Linked DNA regions of Mus musculus. The protein of the gene in region 2 purifies or fractionates together with the protein of the main gene of each other region. This does not show direct contact. Links are inferred from orthologs where the notes say so. Each region holds a gene or a part of one and is shown on either strand. Other genes may lie near its edges.

Evidence for each region.
Region 1: the proteins of Smc3 (region 2) and Rec8 purify together in Homo sapiens (affinity purification with mass spectrometry; 3 studies listed by BioGRID and IntAct, with this or other methods). This does not show direct contact. The link is inferred for Mus musculus from reciprocal best matches to the Homo sapiens genes SMC3 and REC8.
Region 3: the proteins of Smc3 (region 2) and Cdca5 purify together in Homo sapiens (affinity purification with mass spectrometry; 7 studies listed by BioGRID and IntAct, counting the BioPlex papers as one, with this or other methods). This does not show direct contact. The link is inferred for Mus musculus from reciprocal best matches to the Homo sapiens genes SMC3 and CDCA5.
Region 4: the proteins of Smc3 (region 2) and Pds5a purify together in Homo sapiens (affinity purification with western blotting; 8 studies listed by BioGRID and IntAct, with this or other methods). This does not show direct contact. The link is inferred for Mus musculus from reciprocal best matches to the Homo sapiens genes SMC3 and PDS5A.

Annotation. Positions count from the first base shown.
Region 1 is NC_000080.6:55,622,853-55,626,326, reverse strand, and holds the end of Rec8 (meiotic recombination protein REC8 homolog), read right to left. Parts: coding exon 3,442-3,474; intron 3,164-3,441; coding exon 3,114-3,163; exon of another isoform or gene 2,946-3,113; intron 2,831-2,945; coding exon 2,693-2,830; intron 2,407-2,692; coding exon 2,340-2,406; intron 2,252-2,339; coding exon 2,085-2,251; intron 1,979-2,084; coding exon 1,930-1,978; intron 1,605-1,929; coding exon 1,541-1,604; intron 1,443-1,540; coding exon 1,326-1,442; intron 1,255-1,325; coding exon 1,148-1,254; intron 1,052-1,147; coding exon 966-1,051; 3' UTR 932-965; downstream 1-931. Other genes in the region: Ipo4 (importin-4), read left to right, coding at 104-173, 286-416. UniProt on the Homo sapiens protein: Required during meiosis for separation of sister chromatids and homologous chromosomes.
Region 2 is NC_000085.6:53,598,415-53,603,569, reverse strand, and holds the start of Smc3 (structural maintenance of chromosomes protein 3), read right to left. Parts: upstream 3,175-5,155; 5' UTR 3,031-3,174; coding exon 3,016-3,030; intron 2,088-3,015; coding exon 2,012-2,087; intron 1-2,011. UniProt on the Homo sapiens protein: Central component of cohesin, a complex required for chromosome cohesion during the cell cycle. The cohesin complex may form a large proteinaceous ring within which sister chromatids can be trapped.
Region 3 is NC_000085.6:6,082,945-6,088,263, reverse strand, and holds the start of Cdca5 (sororin), read right to left. Parts: upstream 3,168-5,319; 5' UTR 3,102-3,167; coding exon 3,056-3,101; intron 2,867-3,055; coding exon 2,775-2,866; intron 1,863-2,774; coding exon 1,797-1,862; intron 1,713-1,796; coding exon 1,677-1,712; intron 1-1,676. Other genes in the region: Zfpl1 (zinc finger protein-like 1), read left to right, coding at 3,811-3,912, 4,204-4,315. UniProt on the Homo sapiens protein: Regulator of sister chromatid cohesion in mitosis stabilizing cohesin complex association with chromatin. May antagonize the action of WAPL which stimulates cohesin dissociation from chromatin.
Region 4 is NC_000071.6:65,694,732-65,700,000, reverse strand, and holds the start of Pds5a (sister chromatid cohesion protein PDS5 homolog A), read left to right. Parts: upstream 1-1,764; 5' UTR 1,765-2,251; intron 2,252-3,063; 5' UTR 3,064-3,103; coding exon 3,104-3,238; intron 3,239-5,269. UniProt on the Homo sapiens protein: Probable regulator of sister chromatid cohesion in mitosis which may stabilize cohesin complex association with chromatin. May couple sister chromatid cohesion during mitosis to DNA replication.

The DNA.
Region 1 (3,474 bases), on a different chromosome or scaffold from region 2:
GTTGGGTGTCAGTTCAGACAAGCTCACAGGCTTCTGTCCTTGGTTTCAACGGCCTGCTCTAAGCCCTGCTTCGCTGCCCCGGTTGACCAGTTCTATTCCATAGGTTGTGGATGTGGCTTCAGAACTCCTGCGCATCTGCAGCCTGATCCTGCCGGACAACCGGATCCCTCCAGGTGAGGCCGACAGAGGGCAAGGGAGAGTGGGGACAGGCAGGGCTCAGAGAGCCTGAGGTACTATGGGCGGAGGAACCAGGTCCTTCATCAGGCCTCTCTCTATTCTACCCAGACACCAAGGCGGCCCTGCTGCTGCTCCTGACGTTCCTGGCCAAGCAGCACACCGACAGCTTCCACACAGCCCTGGGCTCTCTGCCAAATGATAAAGCTCAGGAACTTCAGGCCATGATGGGCCTCACTTAAGACTATAGGCCACAGGGGCCAGGGGTCCGAAGACCGAGGTCAGCCCTGGTCCAGTTCACCTTACCAAAGACTCTATCCATTGAAGTCAACTGTGCTGTTTTAACAGGGGTGTCTCTGGGGCTGGACATCATACTATAATAAAGCAGAGCTGTGACATCATACTATAATAAAGCAGAGCTGTGACATCATACTATAAGGAAGCAGCTGTGACGTCATACTATAAGAAAGCAGAGCTGTGACGTCATACTATAATAAAGGTGGCCTGTCTTCTGCTTGGACACTAGCTTTCTGCACAAAGGCTAGAGGTATGTGTTCAGAGCTGAGACTGGGAAGGGAGGGGCTGCGCTGAGGACATACTGTCCCTGCAGAAGTCAGAATGCGGTCCACCCCCACTGGACGGCTCAGACAGCCTTGAGCTCCAGAGGTTTAATTCCCTCATTCCCTTGCACATCTGGCTGGCACACACACATAATTTAAAATTAAAAATAAATCTTGAAAAAAAAAAAGAGGCAAAGTCCAGTGAGGCAGGATATGGTTTAATGAACTTGCTCAGGGGAATTTGGGTCCAGGACGAATCAGGAGGGGCCCATATGGCTTCTGTTGTTCCACAAGAAGGATCTTCTGTGTGGACAGCACTGGTCAGAAAAGAAGGCAGGTCACCACAGTATCTAGAGTGTGCTGTAGCAGCCTCTGGCCGGCCTGCCTGTCCCTGCTTTCTTGTACCCACTCACCCAAGAGCAGATAGAAGACCCGAGAAGCCAACTTTCGGGGGCTGAGAGGGGGCACCAGGCTGCTGAAGTCCAGCTCCTTGTTGGCCTGCAGTTTCAGTGCTACTGCCCTGCAGGAATGGAGGGGTGTCAGCTGGGATAACAGCCTGGTCCCACCCCTAGAGGGAAGCCTCTCGGATACCTGAGCACAGCCTCTGAAGAGAGTTCAGGCCTTGGGGGCATCTCCATGGGCACTTCAGGAAGTTCAGGCAGCATGGGCAGTGCAGGGGGCTCGGGCTGCCCCTCCTCAGACCAGGCCCTAGGAAACCAAAGGAATCAGGGAGGGGGGCAGGTAGTCATGACAGTGACAAAGGTGGGGGCCACTAGGCTGTGCGCTTGCGCCACCAGGATGCTTACCACCATTCTGGGGGGATGAGGCTAGTACGAGACTTTTCATCTTCTGCTGCTTCTAGGGAGAGCTCTGTTGAGGGAGAGAGCACTGAGGGAGCCTGCTTGACTCTGAGGAATTGGGGGGCCTTGTAGCCAGACTAGAGGTGTAGTTCAGTGGTGAAGCATTTGCCTGACATGACAAGGCCCAGTGTTCAGTCTCGGGGACTACAAAGCTTCCCTCATGATCTGGAGCCTAGTTTAGACGTGTACAAAAGCGGGAGTGCTGGAGAATCAAATCTATGCTTTCACGTTCTGCGTGCTCCCTCGCTGTCAGACATGGCCTCAGCAGCTAGGGCACTAGCTGCCTGAGACTGGTTAGGACTGTCTCCATTCTCCCCTCCTGTCCAAGTGCTTACCTGAAGACAGCATGAGGGGACCACTGGGCTCCTGGGCCTCCCTCAGAACCTGCAGGCGGGAGAGCAAGAGCTGAGGCCCAAGCACCGAGTGTCGGGATCTCAGTGTGGTGTGCATGAGGAGGCAGCCGGAGCTCGCCAGGGCTGGGGGGCGTCACCTCGATCTCGCTCAGAGCTTCAGTCTTTCTCCTCTCTTCCTCATCTGCTGCTCTCTCTTCCTCCACTGTCTCCTCAGTCTCCAGCTGTGGCCTTTGTCTGAGCATTCTTTGGGGGACCTGGGCACAGTGTGTCCATAAACCTAGGAGTTCTGGGGGTAGCCAGCCAGCTGACAAGAGAGGAAATGGGTTTCAATCATAAAACTGAAGCTCCCAGGCTCTGAAGCTCCCACCTGCTCCAGTCTTCACCATTCTTACAGAGAGTTGGGGTTCTGAAGAGCTCCGCTGGGCTTGTGAGCATCCTCTTGGGAGGCTGGGCCACTGGCTGCAAGATGGTGGAAGGCCATTGGCCCTTTTATGAGCAAGCCCCTTCTTCCTGCCCCTCCTTTGCCATCCTTAGTTCCCAGGGCCCCTGCCCCTGTGTTCAGGCTCAAGACCCGCCCTATAGTGCTTGAGGCTAAGCCAGCTGCTAGCCTGGTGTCTGTATAAGCAGTCCCTCACATCTAGGAAATAGGGCCTTTTTTTGTCAGGTTCCCATTATTCTTAGGAGTTCAGAAGTCCAGCCAGACCCGCATCCCTCTATTCCCTAGGGTGACCTGGGCTGTACTCACATACTCCCAGCAGTGAGCCCCAGTCTGCAGTTGTTCCTCAAACTTCTCCCGAGAGATCTGGGTCTCCTTGTCCCAGAATAATAACTGGCGCCGCCGGTGTCGGCGGGGAAGTGGCCTCTGAAGAGACGGGAGCCTCTTCTGGAGTTGGAGGGAGGCAAAAGTCAGGTTATTCTCCATTTCCCAGCAGACCACCTGTGGGCCCACACTGCCCCTTCTCAGTTGTCTGGGGAAGAAGCGGGGGTAAGGTCCTTACTCAAGCTTACACCGACTGGGAAGCGAGGCCACACCGTGACCTATGGAAAGGGGTATCTTTTACTGATAGAAGCAAAATCCTCACTGTACACTCGGAATGGTCCTGGGCTTAGGGACAAGGGTGTCGTAGGGGAAAGTAAAAAGACAGCTTGGAGAAGAACCTACTCACCTCTGTACTGGGTGGGGCAGGCAGCCGCAGCTCCTGAGGTGGGGTCACCTCTGCAACAATACCCATAAGCCCTCTCACTTTTTTTCTTTTAAAGACAAGGTTTGGCCCTATAGCCTAAGCTGGCTTCAAGTTTATGGCTATCCTGCCTCAGCCCCAGCTTCTGCAAGTGATTGGGCTACAGACACAAGCTCCACAGTAGACTAGTCCTCACTCTTACAGCTACCAGCACAAGAAGCCACCCAGGGTCTCCCTCAGAAGGTGGTGGGTACAGGCTTTTGTCTCTGCTACTGTGCAAGTGTTCTTAAAGGACCCAGTGATGGACACTTACCAGTGAGTAGGGCCCCAGGCTCCCAGCCTGTCA
Region 2 (5,155 bases):
TTTCCTTGCTCTAATGTATCTTCAGTTTGTCTTTGTCAGATCTGAAGACTGGAGACAAGGACATACAGGGCAAACAATATTTGGGCAATCACAGAGGCAAAGATCAGCTCAAGAGGTATTTGCTTTCAAATCTTTTATTTTAGGCTCAAAATCATTAAACAAGTTGGGTTTTTTTTAGGTTTACTTATTTCATCTTCTGTGTATGTGTATCTTACCTGCATGTATGTATATGCATATCATGCATGTGTGTCTGGTGCCAGGAGGTCAGAAGCATTGATTGGATCCCCTCAAACAAGTTATGAATGGTTATGAACCACCATTGTGGGTGCTGGGAATCAAACTAGGTCCTCTGCAAGCGCTCTTAACTGCTGAGCTTCCTCCCCAGCCCATCACTATATATTTAAAAGACAACTTCACTGCCTAACTACTTCCCACTTTCTTCCCATTAATAACAACTTCCCATCTGTCTCACAGTGAACAGCACCAGGCAGGAAAAGTAGCATCAAGAAAGGAGCTTTATCTTAGTTAAAACATAGAAGAATTCTTACTTTCCTCTCAAAAGAAACTATGTTGCAAGCAAAGGGAAAGAACTACTGCTATCTGACTAAAACAAAAATACTTAACAGACCTCATAGACATGATTCTAGATAGCAATCACTATCTCCACAGATGACAACCACACAACTGAAATATTAAGGCATTTTTCAGCTTAGAAGTATAAGAAATATCATAAAACCTAGTTATTATTTCTTTTTCTCCATTTTTAGGATTTTCAGACTAGCAAACACCAGGAAGCTCCTATAATGAAATGCAGCAAAAGCCCAGTACAATGGAGATGCTTGTGCTGCGAGTTAGTCGGTTAGCACCCTCTGTAGCTCAAGCACAAGGAGAACAAACAGCAGGCTACTCTACTCTCACAAAGGGGGCAGCCCATGTACCAACAGCAGAAAGAGCCTAGCCTCCAACCGTCCTGCCACAGACTACATTCATCTTCAATTCCTCAACTCAAGAGTCCTCTCACTTTAGCCTCTTGAGTAGCTGGAACTAAGTAACCACTCCTGGATTTCCTTCGTTGTTTTCTTTCATATGTTATGTAAATAATGCCTTGTTCTCTAAAGGCCTTCTGTGAACACTGGCATTTTTTTCCCCTCGACTAAGTCTGCTCGCAGATCTCACCTATCCTGTACTGACAGTGCTAGATAAGGTCCCGATGAGGCCCCATCAGAATTCACTCCTGCTGGTACCAGAAACCCCAACCTCTATTCTCCAGGACCACCTAGCCCACTGTCTAGAGTACCTCATCTGGCTGGCCTAGCAAACTGCAACTAGGACACTGTAACAGTCAAACCACCAATGCCAGAACCTCTCAAGTCTAGCACTAACTTCATCCATCCTTCAAAATTCAGTGGCACGTGGTTTCCTCAGCAAAACGGAGACTTTAAACACCAAAAAAACCTTAACTAAGTACTGTTAATGGCAACAATCATGTGAGCTTTAATCTCAAATTTCCATATCCCTTCTCTTTACTCTTTCCAATGGCCTTCTGAGACAGGTAGTGTCTGTTCACGTCTCTCATAAAAACTCACACTCACAAAGAAATTGGCAAGGGAAAAAGACCACAATCTGCAAATAAGCCATCCTTCAAAGAAAGTAACAGTGATGGACTAAGAACAAAACAGGCGACACCCTCTCATGTAAAAGGTTCTGAAATGAAGACACATCATCAACATCCTACACACACACACACACACACACACACACACACACACACACACGCTAGGCAAACATTCCACTACTTAACTTACACCACTGGGCTCCAAAATGATTTATCCGTCTGAGTTACACAAAAATTTTATTTTTATAAAATAAGCAATTCATCGGTGCAGACACGAAACAGGTAATCCCATGGAGGAATATTAACATTCAAAGACAACTCCCGTCTCCCCTGGCCTGTCACGTCTATCGGTAGCAATTCTAAGTCTAACATGGTAAACCAAGAACACTTACTTACCGATGACATTATGTTTGGAGCTGAAGGGATCTACAATTGTTTGGTCTCGGTAACTTCGGAAGCCCTGGATGATCACCTATTAAAGAAGAGACAACCCTTGAGAACACAGAAAGCACTTCTAGGGCAACATTCTTTCCTTCTCCGTCTCTTGCTTCTCACGCAAGGCAAGACAGAAACGGTCCACTCGGCGGAGACCATTGCGATCGGGAGCAAGCAAGTTAAAGATTCGCTAAACCCCTTCCGACATGGCCTGCAACCCTTGCTGGTGCAGGGCTGCTCTGGGAGAAGCTCTCCAAACCCAGCGGCTTCGACCCCGAGCTCTGCACGACAGTAAAGGTCCAGACAGCAGGCAGGCGAGCGGGCGGGCGAGCGAGCTGGTCGCAGCTTGCCAGCCTGCGAGCCCAGTGAGAGGGCATCCTTCAGTCAAACCACTGGCCAGCCCCAATGAGTCCATTGAGAAAAAGAAATAAGATAATAAAAATTAAGTGAAAAGGGGATAGATAGGATCGCAACGCTCCGAGCCTGACCCGTCCAATAGAAAAACGTCGCCCAGCGCGTGTCCCGGGGGCTCGGCGCTCGCGCGCGGGAAGAGCATTTTGACAGAAGTAAACAACCGAGTGAGCAGGCGCGACGCGACCTGCTGCGAGGGTCCGCCCTGCTGGGGCAAAGCCTGAGGCAAGGCGGAGAGAGCCTGCAGCCCAGCCCGGGGCCTCGCGAAGGCGGTCCATGCACCGCCATGCCTGCCTGCAGAACGACGCGGCCTCCCAGCAGCTCGCAGCAGCCCGCGGCGCCCGAGGAAGCCGGGCCTCCGCCTGCAGCCCGCCGCGCCCGGTCCCGCTCGGCTCCGCTCGGCTCCACGCACCGCGCCCCGGGGGAAAGCGCCGACTGCAGCCCGGCGCTCGGCTCGTCAGGGCCCCGCTCCTCCCCGCCCCCCCAAGCCCAGGCCGGCCCTAACCCACCCGCGGCGCGCTCCGGGACACCCCGCCGCCTCTCACGGCCCTTACCTGCTTGATGTACATGGCTCCGCGCCCCTCGGCAGGGGGAAGGCGTCGCCTCAGCACCGCAGCAGCGCGGCCGCAGGCTCGGAAGACGAGCAAGACAGCCCCCTCCTCACAGCGCTCCGCTCGCTCCCGCTCGCTCCCCCTGTGGCCAAACAAAATGGCGGCGGCCGCGGAGGCGGGGCCCGCGCGTCGGGCGGAACCACGATGGAAGCGATGCGGATCGCAGGGGGAGTCTGGGCCGGTTCCACTCTGTCGCGTAGGAAAGGCCCCTCTCCCGCGGCCCTCTTAGACGGACCTGATCTGAGAAAAGGATTTTCTTATCCTCTTGTTTTGCTGAGAATCACTTGGGAGTCCGACTCGGAGGAGCCCCGCTCCAGAGGCCGGCAGGAACTACCTCCGGACGCACGGACTATGGTCGCGCCCGTGAGGGGCGGGGCCTGCTCGGCGCCAAAGCCTGGAGTGAGACGAGCGGAGCCAATCGCCGAGCGCGCCGGAGGTCACGTGGTCGCCGGGCCGCTTAAAAAGGACGTGGCCTGTCAGCCTAGCGCCCGACTTGAATGTAGGTCTCATTGTGACTGCCTGGGGTTCTGAGCTCAGAACCTCCGCGCTTCCATTATTCTCTTTATTAGCTCAGAGCGCCTCCTGCTGGTTCCGAGCCTCCTGACGGCTCTGAGAGAACTGGAGGACGCTAGGACATTTGAAGGGATTGATTTAGGGAGGTTGTCTTTAGTTTTCCAAGCCCCGATTTCACCTTGTAGCTAAGGATGACTTTAAACTCCTTATAGAAAGACCTGTACAATTGCCACAAATAAATTTCTTGAAATAGGTAAATTAAAAAAAAAAGAAAAAAGAAAAAAAAAAAAAAAAAGGAGCCGGGGTGGTGGTGCACGCCTTTAATCCCAGCACTCGGGAGGCAGAGGCAGGCGGATTTCTGAGTTCGAGGCCAGCCTGGTCTACAAAGTGAGTTCCAGGACAGCCAGGGCTACACAGAGAAACCCTGTCTCGAAAAGAAAGTAAGAGAGAGAAAGAAAAGAAATAGGTAGGTACTAGGGTCAGTCCCTAAATGTATAGGATTTTTTTTAGCCCTGGCTTTCCTAGAATTCGCTCTGTAGACCAGGCAGGCCTCAAACTCAGGATCTGCCTGCCTCTGCCTCCCCAGTGCTGGGATTAAAGGCTTATGCCATCACTGCCCGGCTAAATGTATACAATCAGTGTAGGGAGTAGAGTTCTGGGCAACTCTAAAATTGCCTACTGGGAAATAAACAAACAAACCTGGACGACCTAATAAGGTCCTGGTCACCATTCCTGCTTCCTGAGGCAGTTCTCACCCTCAACATGTCTACGAGGAAGGGCAAATCTTGTGCCCTACTGGGAATCCTTTATCTGAAACTCTGGCCAAATTCCACCCAAAGTTTGAGGGAAAAAAAAAAAAAAAAGAAAAAGTATTAAAAGAGAAAGAAAAGAAAGAAAGAAATTTAATTTAAAATTTCATTTTGGGAGTTAAGGACCTCTACCCCTGTCAGTTTGTGAGGGTTTGGGGTATATTATAAACAGAATTCTAAGCCTTCATTCAGTTCCTCAGGATGACGGCTGGGTTTGCAGTGCAGTTGGTAAAGCCCTAGTTTGTCATACAGGAGGTCTTAGACGCTTCCCCAGCACTGGGTAGCCTAGTGGCACACATCTGTGATCCCAGAACCCTGGGAAGGTGGATGCAAGATCAAAAGTTCAAATTCATCTACTGCTTAGTGGGTTTGAAGGAGACCCTATTTTTCAATAATAGTGAAGTCACCAGAACTTTTATGATGGTTTCCACTACAATGAGATTTTTACTTTCCTTCTTAGGCCTTTACACATTTTATGAACTTTATTCAGTTAGCTTGTATAATCATATAAATAGGGGAAAAAGGTTTTTTTTTTTAAATCTCTACAATATCAAATAAGTGATTTTAGACTATTGCCTTGTTTATATTTATTGTCTCTCTCCATGATAGTAAAATCTAAGAGATGAAGAATTTCATTTTGTTACTATTGCTCTCTTCAATTATTTTGCACAAAGTAACCAAATCTTATGAAGGGAAAATGCACAGAGGCCAAGTTCTTACCACAGTGCCTGGCTCTCCTGGCTTTTAACAGTTATCACAGA
Region 3 (5,319 bases), about 48 Mb from region 2:
ACCACTGCCACCACCCAGCTGATTCTGTCTTCTGACCCCGAGTGTTCCTCACTGTGTTCTTTTTTTTGTTGTTGTTGTTTTGTTGTTGTTGTTTTTTCGAGACAGGGTTTCTCTGTATAGCCCTGGCTGTCCCGGAGCTCACTTTGTAGACCAGGCTGGCCTTGAACTCAGAAATCCGCCTGCCTCTGCCTCCCGAGTGCTGGGATTTTAGGCGTGCGCCACCACACCGGGGCCACCACCATCTTAGTTGGGCCTTCACCATCTTAACTCTCCTCATTGGTCCTAGGACTCCAATGACGTCATTCACAGAGAAACCTTTCTACAATACTTCGGCTTTATTATGTCAGTACTTTGGTTAAAAGCTGGTTGGGAAGCTAGGTGGGGTAGTGCATGCCTTTAACCCTAGCACTAGGGTGGGGGTTGAATCTCGGTGAGTTTGAGGCCTGCCTGGTCTTCAAAGCAAGTTCTAGGACTTGAAAACCCACCTCCACCATCACAAGATGGCTGGGATTATCTCAACAGCAGGGTACCTGCTTAGTACTGCCCTGGGATAGATCTCCAGCACCACACACATCAGAATAACAAATCAAACTGGCAATTTGCCTCACGTCTGCAATTCCCAGGACACTGAGAAATACCAGGCAGGAAGAGTACCAAAGCCAGCCAGCAACACAACCCTGGTCAGAGAGCAAAGCACCACTGGGTACACTTGGGAGATTGAAAAATCAGGAATTCAAAACCAGCTTTACGCACATACTAAATTCAGGGCCAGGCTTGGCCACAGGTAACCCTGGCTGTCTTGGAACTCACTCTGTAGACCAAGCTAGCCTATAAGTCAAAAGAGATCCACTTGCCTCTGCCTTCTGAGTGCTGGAATTAAAGGTGTGCACCAGCACCCAGCACCTTTTACACTGCGTATGCATGTGTCCGGAAGAGGGCGTTGGATACTCTCAAACTGAAGCTGTAGGTGTGTAGGGTCCATCTGATGGAATCTGAAAACTGCTTTTACCCAGAACCATCTTTCCAGCCCCTACACATAACTCATTCTATAACCATAAAACAAACAAACAAACAAACAAAACATAAATAAACACTCAGCAAAACAACCTTATCACTCTGTGGACCAGGCTGGCCTAAAACTCCGAGATCCGCCTGCCTCTGCCTCCCAAATCTTGCGACTAAAGGCGTGCGCCATCACAACATCACAACAAAACAGTGGCAAAACAGTCTACAGAAGCCCAGTGGTTAAACCATAACTTTTTAAGAAAAATAGTGAGAATGTTCAGAGCATAAAGAACTAGAAATGAGGGGTTGGGGTTGGGGATTTAGCTCAGTGGTTTTCAGCTCTGGGGAACAAAACAAAACAAAACAAAAAAACCCAAAAAAAAAAAGAAATGAATGACACCCATAGGCAGGAAACAAGACTGGTAACTACAGTCAGTCCTGGTAGCATGCCCATCTCTAAGATTTGAATCTATCTGCAGAGACTGGTGCAGGTGGATCTCTATGAATTTGAGGCCAGTCTGGTCTACCGTAACTTCCAGTTCAGGAAACAGTGTTATACACTGAGACCTAAACTGACAAGCCATGAAGCAGTTGCCTGGGTAGAAGTGTATGCCTACCCTCTAAGGGTAAATCCTACACAAATAAACAGAAATAAACAGAACTGAACTCACCCTAGGACTTCTTCGAACCGTGTGGACATCTGGGACCTGTAGGGATGACATCAACTGATCAATCAATAGCTAAGCCCAGTTTTGACATCTCACTCCCAAAGCCTTCTCTCAGCCCCTCACCTCTACTGCATGAGCTACGATCTTCTTCAAGACGATGGCCTTTCTGACTGGGACCGCTGGAGTTGTCTGGGGGGGGTAAAAGAAAGTATTATCCATGAGCTTTACAATAGTTCAAAGCCCTCTAGGTCAGTGTAAAAGTACTTTGGGAGCCGGGCAGTGGTGGTGCACGCCTTTAATCCCAGCACTTGGGAGGCAGAGGAAGGTGGATCTTTGAGTTCGAAGCCGGCCAGGTCTACTAAGTAAGTGAGTTCCAGGACAGCCAGGGCTATACAGAGAAACGTTGTCTCGAGGAAAAAAAAAAAAAGTACTTTGGGGGTGTTGCTGAGAAAAGTTTTCCTTATCTTCTATCCAAGACTTCTCAGCCTCTAAGCCTGGTTCTAAGTTTGTAAGTTCTTGCACCATGTTGGGCACCAACTGTGGAAGCATTGGGCGGGAGTTTTTTGACTCCCTTGCTCCCAAATAACTGCAGGGCATTTCTTCCCCCCAACGCCACTACCTCCTGAGTAAAGGACACAGAGCTGTTATTCAAAGGCTGCTGGCACTATGTTGGGCAGGTTCTGAGCTACTCTAACCCTCTCAGGCTGCCTATCTACCAGTCACACGGTCCTCTACCTGAATCTCAGTCTTACTCTGACTCAATCTGGTCCATGTGTGCCCTCATGACTGCTCTCTCCCTCCTCTTGACCTTAGAGTGAAACCACCTGCTCTCTCCGCGCCTCCCCCTCTCCCACTTCTCTCTCCCTAGACTCTTCCGGACGCCTCAATGGGCGCTGATGTCCCGCCTCCTCTGTCCTCTCCTGCCCAGCCATAGGCTGATCAGCTCTTTATCAACCAATCAGAGATGATTTAAAAAAAAAAAAACAACAGTGAGCCCGGAGGTGCTAGTTAGCCGGACTAAGGATACCTAGGCATAGAAATTAGCATCTGAATACGCAGCGCACAAACCCAACCCCAACACCTGGGGGACCAGGAACTCACCCTCGGCCAGATTTCAGAGAACGAGTTCGGGAGATCTGAGCCAGATTTCCGCTTGGACGACTTCGAAGGCTTAGTAAGTGAAGTCCTGGGCCCTGGAAAGGAAAACACGTTTGATGGTGAGCAAAACTTTGCTCGAAGAAAAGGCGACAAACAAACGAAACAAGATGCTTGACGAGTTCGGAAAAGCAAAAGTCGTTTTCCAACTACCCCTTTGGGGCGTCTTCCACCGGGAGCCAAGTTTTGTTCCCCAAACAACCCCGCTCCACTGCTCCCGTGCTCACCAGACCGCTGGGCAGCCCCTCCTGATCGTGTTCGCCGCTCCGCCATGTGTACGGTCGGGCTCAGTCTCCGCCGCGGTCGCCTACTCAGGCTCGCGCCAACCGGGAACTTTGCTGCTTCAAACGTTCAAATTGCCCGCCTTGCTAGCGAGAAAGCGGAAGTGACACAGGCCGGAGGCGGACCATCCGCTTTTGTTGTCACAGGCTTTACGTCTAGCTAGCAAAAGGCAGAGGCGTATCCTGCGGCGCTGTGGCGTCATCAGCGTGCGCCGCACCCGGAAGAGACGTGGCAGCGGAGGGATAATCAGGCCGGACCTGAAGGGAGCGGAGCTGCAGCTACCGGAGTTGGTGAGCTCAGTCCCCGGCCTTCCGCGCTTTTCATTACCGTACGCACCGGTCACGATCGGCATCGCGGAGGTTCGCGGACATCCAGAATGTGGTCGGCCAGCTGGGGGCGGGTCAAGAGGGGGTGGGTCTTGGGGGCGGGGCTGGTGGTATTGGAGCTGTGCAGAGATCTGGCGAGGGCCTTCCTGGGTCTTGATGGAATGAAGGGTCGGTCGTTTGTGGTACGATCTGTACAGGAGACGTGGCTTTACCCATGCTAAGGCATTATGCTAGAATTTGGTGTTGGGACTGGTGTGAGACGGGACTGAGAGATTTAAAAGAAGAGAACTGGGTTGGTGAAAACAAACTGGCAGCCACCAAAACCTGGCTTCCTGCTAACTGATTTCACCCCACCACACCCTCCAGGATCGGTCATGGGACTTTGCAAGTGCCCCAAGAGGAAGGTGACGAACCTGTTCTGCTTCGAACACCGAGTTAACGTCTGCGAGCACTGCCTAGTAGCCAATCACGCCAAGGTGGGGCGTTTAGAGCAGTGTCTGAGCAGGGCGGGTGGGTGGGCAGACAAGATTGCCTACTTCTAAATCCATGTGGGGACCTATGCTAGACTGTAAGCTCCACAAGGGCAAGAACATGGGGTGTGATGCGCTCTGCTATGCCTTCAGTAGCTGCTCAATAAATGGTCACTCAATAAATGGAACAGATGAAATGATGAGTCTGATGAGAGAAAACGAGGCATTTGAGCCTTGGAGTGGTGTGTGCATCGTGGAGCCTGGGGCACCAGTTGTGACATCTCTCTCCCACTCCAGTGCATCGTGCAGTCCTACTTGCAGTGGCTACAAGATAGTGACTACAACCCCAATTGCCGCCTGTGCAACACACCCCTGGCCAGTCGGGAGACCACCCGTCTTGTTTGCTATGGTGAGGCCTGGGAAGGGGTCAGGGCAGCCCCAGGATCCAGCTTGGATACAGGTTTGATAGCATCTTTCAAGAAGCAAGACAGTGAGTCCCTCAAGCGTGGAGGTCAGAGCCTCAGATCCTGATTCCTTTAGGTACCGTCCTGTTTTATAAAGCCTCAGCAAGCCTTTTCTCTTCGTAGGCCTTAGAATCTTCCCTGAAAGTTAGAGCTTCTCCTTCCTGCTCTGCCAGTCTGGGAGAGCTAGAGATGACTATGAGCTGTGGCTGGGAGAAAGATCCACTTTAGGGGATGTTACTGACCCCGATACTGTACCCAGAGGAAGCTATCCATGTTACAGTTTGCTGGGAGTCGGTAGTCAGAGCCTAGTATAAAAAAAAGCCTCAGCTTAGCTTGTTCAAGGTGCTGGTCCAAAAGGGGGCAGCTCCACCTGAATTTCTCCATGTGAAATTATGTGTCCACTCATACAGATGTATGTGTTGGTTAGTACTTGTGGGTGAGTAGATGGGTGATGAGTGTTTGTGAGCACATATCCCATGGGATGCATGATGACATGAAGGTGGGGAGTGTTAGGGGATATGTGTTACAGATGTGTACATGTATGACTACTAGTGTACTTTGAGGGAATGGCTCTCAAGTTTGCTTGTGTATTTATAAGCACTGTGTATTTGCCTCTGGATATCTGCATGTATCAGTGTCTGGGAAGCTTTCCTGATAGTGTTCTTGTATGTAGGTTTGTTTTGTTTTGTTTTGTTTGAGACTGGGATTGTGGGGCTGACCTTGAAATCTTACTCCTGCCTCCACCTCCCAAGTGCTAGGATTAGGCACTGCCAGCCTGAAACTATTGTTGTGTAGTCATTAGCCCAAGGAGTGTGATTTTAGGCCAGAGAAGACTCTTGAAAGGGTGGAAGGTATTTTCTTCCTTCCCAGTCACACCTTCTCATGGGCTGGTCACATGGGTAGACTCTACCTTGCTTTGGTTCAGTGGCATTTGCAAGAAGCCTTAGGG
Region 4 (5,269 bases), on a different chromosome or scaffold from region 2:
ACCTTCCTATATGAGAATACCTTTCAATAATGGATAGTTGCTGGGCATAATGGCACATAAGGGTGCCTATCTGCAATCCCTGTACTTCAGAGATGGAGACAGGAAGACTGAGGAGCCAGCCTGGGCTATATAGTAAGTTCCAGGCTGGCCTCAGGATATGGTGGGACTCTGCCAAAACCAATCAAACAAACAAACAAAAAAAACCAATACATTTTTTCCCCTCCTGTTTTTATTCTTTAGGTCTCCCAAATCTTTTTACCTCAGCCTTCCAAGTTCTGGGACCACTGGCATATCAGAGGAGACCTGGCTCCTCCCTGCCACGTATTACTAGCATATTCATATTACTGGAAATCTTGAGTTCAAAAAAATCCTCTTGCCTAAATCTTTTGATTTAGCTGCAACCATAGGCCAGTTAAAAGGTGGGCATTTTAAAGAACAATGTATAAATTCAATTGCTGCCAGCTTCTTCTTTCTGTTTTTTTGAGATAGGGTTTCCCTGGCCATCCTGGAACTTACTCTGTAGACCAGGCTAGCCTCGAAATCAAAGATTTGCCTGCCTCTGCCTCCCGTTGAAAGGCGTGAACCATAACGGCCTAGCTTCTTCCTCTTTTCATTATTATTATTAATATTTTTTACTTTTTTTGAGACAGGGGTTCTTTGTTGCCCTGGCTGTCTGACGTCCTGGAGCTAGCTCGATTGACCAGGGTGCCTTGAACTCAAGAGATCCGCTTGCCTCTATCTCCCAAATGCTAGGATTAAGGGCGTGCACCACCATCACCCCCTTCTGCTTATTGTTTTTGTTTTTTTGAGACGGTTCTCTGTGTAGCCCTGGCTGTCCCTGGCTGTCCGGGAACTCACTCTGTAGACCAGGCTGGCTTCGAACTCAGAAATCCGCCTGCCTTTGCCTCCCAAGTGCTGGGATTAAAGGCGTGTGCCACCACTGCCCGGCTTGCTTATTGTTTTAAAAGGTGGTTTCCTGAAATTATGTGTGTATTGTTCAGGTTCATTCGCTTCAATATTTACCTTAAATTGCTCAAGCACCGCTGCACTAAGTTTTCTTTGGCAAGCCTTTCCTTTGGAGGAGAGAAAAAGTAGAGCTTTGGTGTATTCACAACTTAAAAAAAAAAAAGAGGTCTCAGATTCACATAGGTAATTTGTAAATCTCTAAAAACACCCTCCCTCTTTCTTCTTCTGGGCTTCACTATCAGGAACCCTAGTCTGTGTTTTCAGCCTGTACCCAAAATGACTGGGAGGCCAGAAGCCCCGGCACCATAGCTTGAGATCGCATGCCAACTTCCTATTTTGCAGCTTTGAAAACCTTAATGGTAGGAGTCTAACTAAGGTCGTAGGCTGCGACCTAGGGCGACTCTCCGGAAGACGCGAGAATGAGCAGCCCGAGTTGTAAAACTTTGCCTCGGCTTCCAGAGCTCTGTTTGGAGGGGAAAGCAGCCGTTTCTCCAGATAATTAACCATTTCTCCACCGGTCCGGTCACATCCCCGCCAGCCAAGCCTTCAAGAGCCCCGGACTCCGCGACAGCGGTGGCCGGGAGTGTCGCAAAGCCGCGCCTCCCGGGGTCCGCTTCCCGCCACCGGGGCTCCTCCTCCGCGCGCCGGCTCGGCTGCCGGCCCCCCGGAGGCGCCCGCGCGGGCAGGTCTTGGCGCCAAACGGGTGGCGGCGCTGTCCACCACGCGCGCGGCCGCGTCGGGCTCGAGGGAGGCGGGGGCTCGGCCGGCGGAAGAAGGGGCGGGAGCGAGGCGCGCGGTGCTCTCGCGGGCTCTCGCGCCGCTCGCGTGACGGGCTCCGGCTGTGCGCGGCGACGCTCAGGCTCCGCGGGGCACGGGCGGGCCGGGAGCGCGCCGCGGCGAGAGGGCGTCTGGTGCGGGTGGGCGCGAGGTGCGGGCGGCCGGCCGGCGAGCGAGCGAGCGGCCGGGCGGGCGCGGGGGACGCGCGGGCGTGCACCCGCGCGCGGGCTCTCGGAGGAGCCGCGGCCGAGGCTGCGCTTCCTCAGCCCGACGGAGAGCGGCAGTGTCGCCCCGGCCGGCGCACGCTCGGCCCGCTTCTCCCCCCGCGGCGGCTGCTCCTCGGCACCGCCAGCCCCAGCGCCGCTCCGGGGCGGGCGGGCGGCGGCGGCGGCGGCGGCGGGACGGACGGAGCCGCTTTGTGTGCAGCCCGACGAGGGGCGGCGGCGGCGGCGCAACCACCTGACAGAGGCCCGGCGCTCGCTGCACCGTCCGCCCGCATGAGGAGGAGGTAAAGCGGCGGCCGGGCTCGCGCCCTCGGCGGCGAGGGAGGGACGGAAGGGGAGACCGCAGGGGAGGGCGCGCGCGGAGGCCCGGCGGGGTTGCCCGGAGCGGCGGCTCAGGCCTTGGCGGTGCCGAGGAGCGCCGGGCGACCGAGGGGCTTGAGATGCCGCCGGGCTCGGTTGCTGAAGTTAAGGAACAAAAATGTGAAGTGCGGAGCCGGGTCCTTCGCTTCCTGGCGAGGGGCTCGGGCGGCTGGCGGGGGTGGCGGGCTGGCCGGGGAGGGGCGGCCGCGCGGCGGGGACGCCGGGAGCCCGGGGCTCGGCACGGCTATGGCGTTCTGCTCCCGGGCGCCGGCGCCGCGCGTGGGTCCTCTTGGGTACCTAGTTTTGCGGCCTAAGCTGAACCCTCTAGGCCTCGAGTCTCCTTTCCCGGAGGTGACCGGCCAGGCGGGGACCCAGCCGCTTCTCCTGAGCCAAGTGGGGCCGTTGGGTCCTCAATGTCCCCCCGAGGCCACCAAACTTCCGTCCTAGGTGCTCGGGGATACATTTCATTGTGAAAAGAGGGCTAGGAAACTCCGGGAGCTGCTCGGCGCCTCTCGCGGCCGGGGCTGCTGCAGCCGAGAACCCCGTGGCACCGGGGCTGGCTCGGGTGGGGGTGGCGGACGCCTAGCCGGGTCCGAAACCCAGGGAAGGAGCGAGTGGCGGGGTCCCCGGCCTCGGGGGGAAGAAAGGGCCCTTTCTAGATTAGAGATTTTTGAAATGAAAAAGAGGTTACAAAGTCGCCCCTTTTCCCGCTGAACTTTGATTTTCTGACCGATAGAGGCCGGTAGAGGACTGTGAGAGAAAAGTTATTCCCCAGGATGGACTTCACGCAGCCGAAGCCTGCCACTGCCCTCTGTGGCGTCGTGAGTGCGGACGGGAAGATCGCTTACCCTCCGGGAGTAAAAGAGATCACCGACAAGATCACCACCGATGAAATGATCAAACGTCTGAAGGTAAGGGTCTGGGTCGGCGATCTGCGCTCTGGATGGCTTTTGTGACTCGTGTGGTTTCATTGGACTACTCTCAACCTGGCCTTTGGAGTTTTTAGTACTAAGTTTTTGAAGATATCTTAACCGCCCCGGAAAAGTCCTGTTCTAACTTGGCGGTATCTTTGGATAAGTTCTGAAAGGACGGGGAATTTAAAGAGTGTGATCATTTTCTGTCCATAAGAACGCATGCATGGTTAGTTGTTTCCCTTGTGGTTATTTTATTTAGTGGATGTTGTTTAAGGGGCTCGATACCCTGAGGTGTAGACAGTGATTTTACCCACGAAAGTTCCTATTATTATCTACTCCAAGAAAAGACTGACTTGAGCACAAACAACCATATTGTCCCCCTTAGATTCTCGTAATTTTCTAATGGGAGCTTAACTATCTATACAGTGGGCTAAACTTAATACAGTGTACAGATTTTTCAGAATTCGAGCTTAAGGAGAAATGATGATTTTAGTACACATGCCCAAGAGAGTTGAAGGACGGGATTGTTGATATGTCTGTGAGTTTGTGTTTGTGTGTGCGCACCGGTTTTCTTGGTGTAACAATCTTGCGCTGTCATTTTGGGACTTAACTTTTCTGCTACTGCATAGGGCAGTGTTTGTTATGGAATCAGTTTCGAGCAGTGATTGTCACTTTGGACAACTTTGATGCACCAGGGGGTGTTGTAGGCAATTTCAGAGTCATTTTGGTTGTCACAGTTGGCTTGTGGGGAGTAGGCTGTGACGTTCTGTGAGGAGGCTAACAGTTGTCTAGTGAAAGATCTTAAACTATTGAAGTACAGTGTGGACAGTGGGAGAGGCAAAGAATGGGTTTGATGACTTGTTTAAGAGAGGACTAGTGGGCTGGAGAGATGGCTCAGCAGTTAAGAGCACTGACTGCTCTTCCAGAGGTCCTGAGTTCAATTCCCAGCAACCACATGGTGGCTCACAACCATCTGTAATGGGATCTGATGGCCCTTTCTGGTGTGTCTGAAGACAGCTACAGTGTGCTCATATAAGTAAAATAAATCTTTAAAAAAAAAAAAAAAAAGAGGACTAGTAACCCAGCTGCCTGCCCTTGAACTTAACCATTTTCCTGCCTCCACTTCCCAAAACACTAGTGGCATAACCACACCCTGCCAACAACAGTGGTTCTCAACCTGTGAGTCGAGACCCCCCCCCAACTATCTGATATCCTGTCTATTAGGTATTAACACTGTAATTCATAACAGTAGCAAAATTACAGTTATGAAGTAGCAATGCAATTATTTTGTTTGAGGTCACCACAACATGAGGAAGCAATAGGAAGGTTGAGACCCATTGTGTTAAAAGGTGCACTTCAAAGTCAGACATGGTGGAAGGCTAGGCAGGGAACATCGAGGACAATGTTTCTGCCTTATGCAACTTTATAAAATGGATTTCTAGGGCCTGATTTTAGGATTGAGCACAGTGCCCAGTAAATGTTGTGTGTTTAAAGTGTTCCTGTGTTTAAGTTTCCATTTGTTGCCTTTTTGAAAGACCTGGTTTCTTTAATTAAAAGGCACCTTTTCCATTTTCTTTCCATTTCTTTTTCCAGGGCTAGAGGTAGGGACTTGTGCAGGGAGCACATATTAAACTCAGGCTCTGCTCTATCTCTGAGCTATACCTTAGTCTAAAGCAGATAAATCTTTTAGTTGTTTTCAAGATAGGTTCTGGCCTAAAACTTGCTCTGTAGACAAGGCTGGCCACAACTTCTCTTTGCCTTTGAAGTGTTGGGAACGTGCCGTCAAGCTCCACTCAATGTGCCTTTGTTTTACGTGTGAGGTTACTGCGTGGACATGCATGTTCATGTGTAGGTACCGAGCGAGGCACTGTAGCTGGTCTTTGCTACTTGGTGGGGCTTTTCCCATCCTCTGTCCTCCAGTTCCACCCCATCACTAGATAAAGAAGGGGAGGGGCTGGAGAGAGGCCTGAATCTGATTTCTTCTTGTTTCTTTGTGCATGACTACTAACAAGCTGCAAACAACCTCTG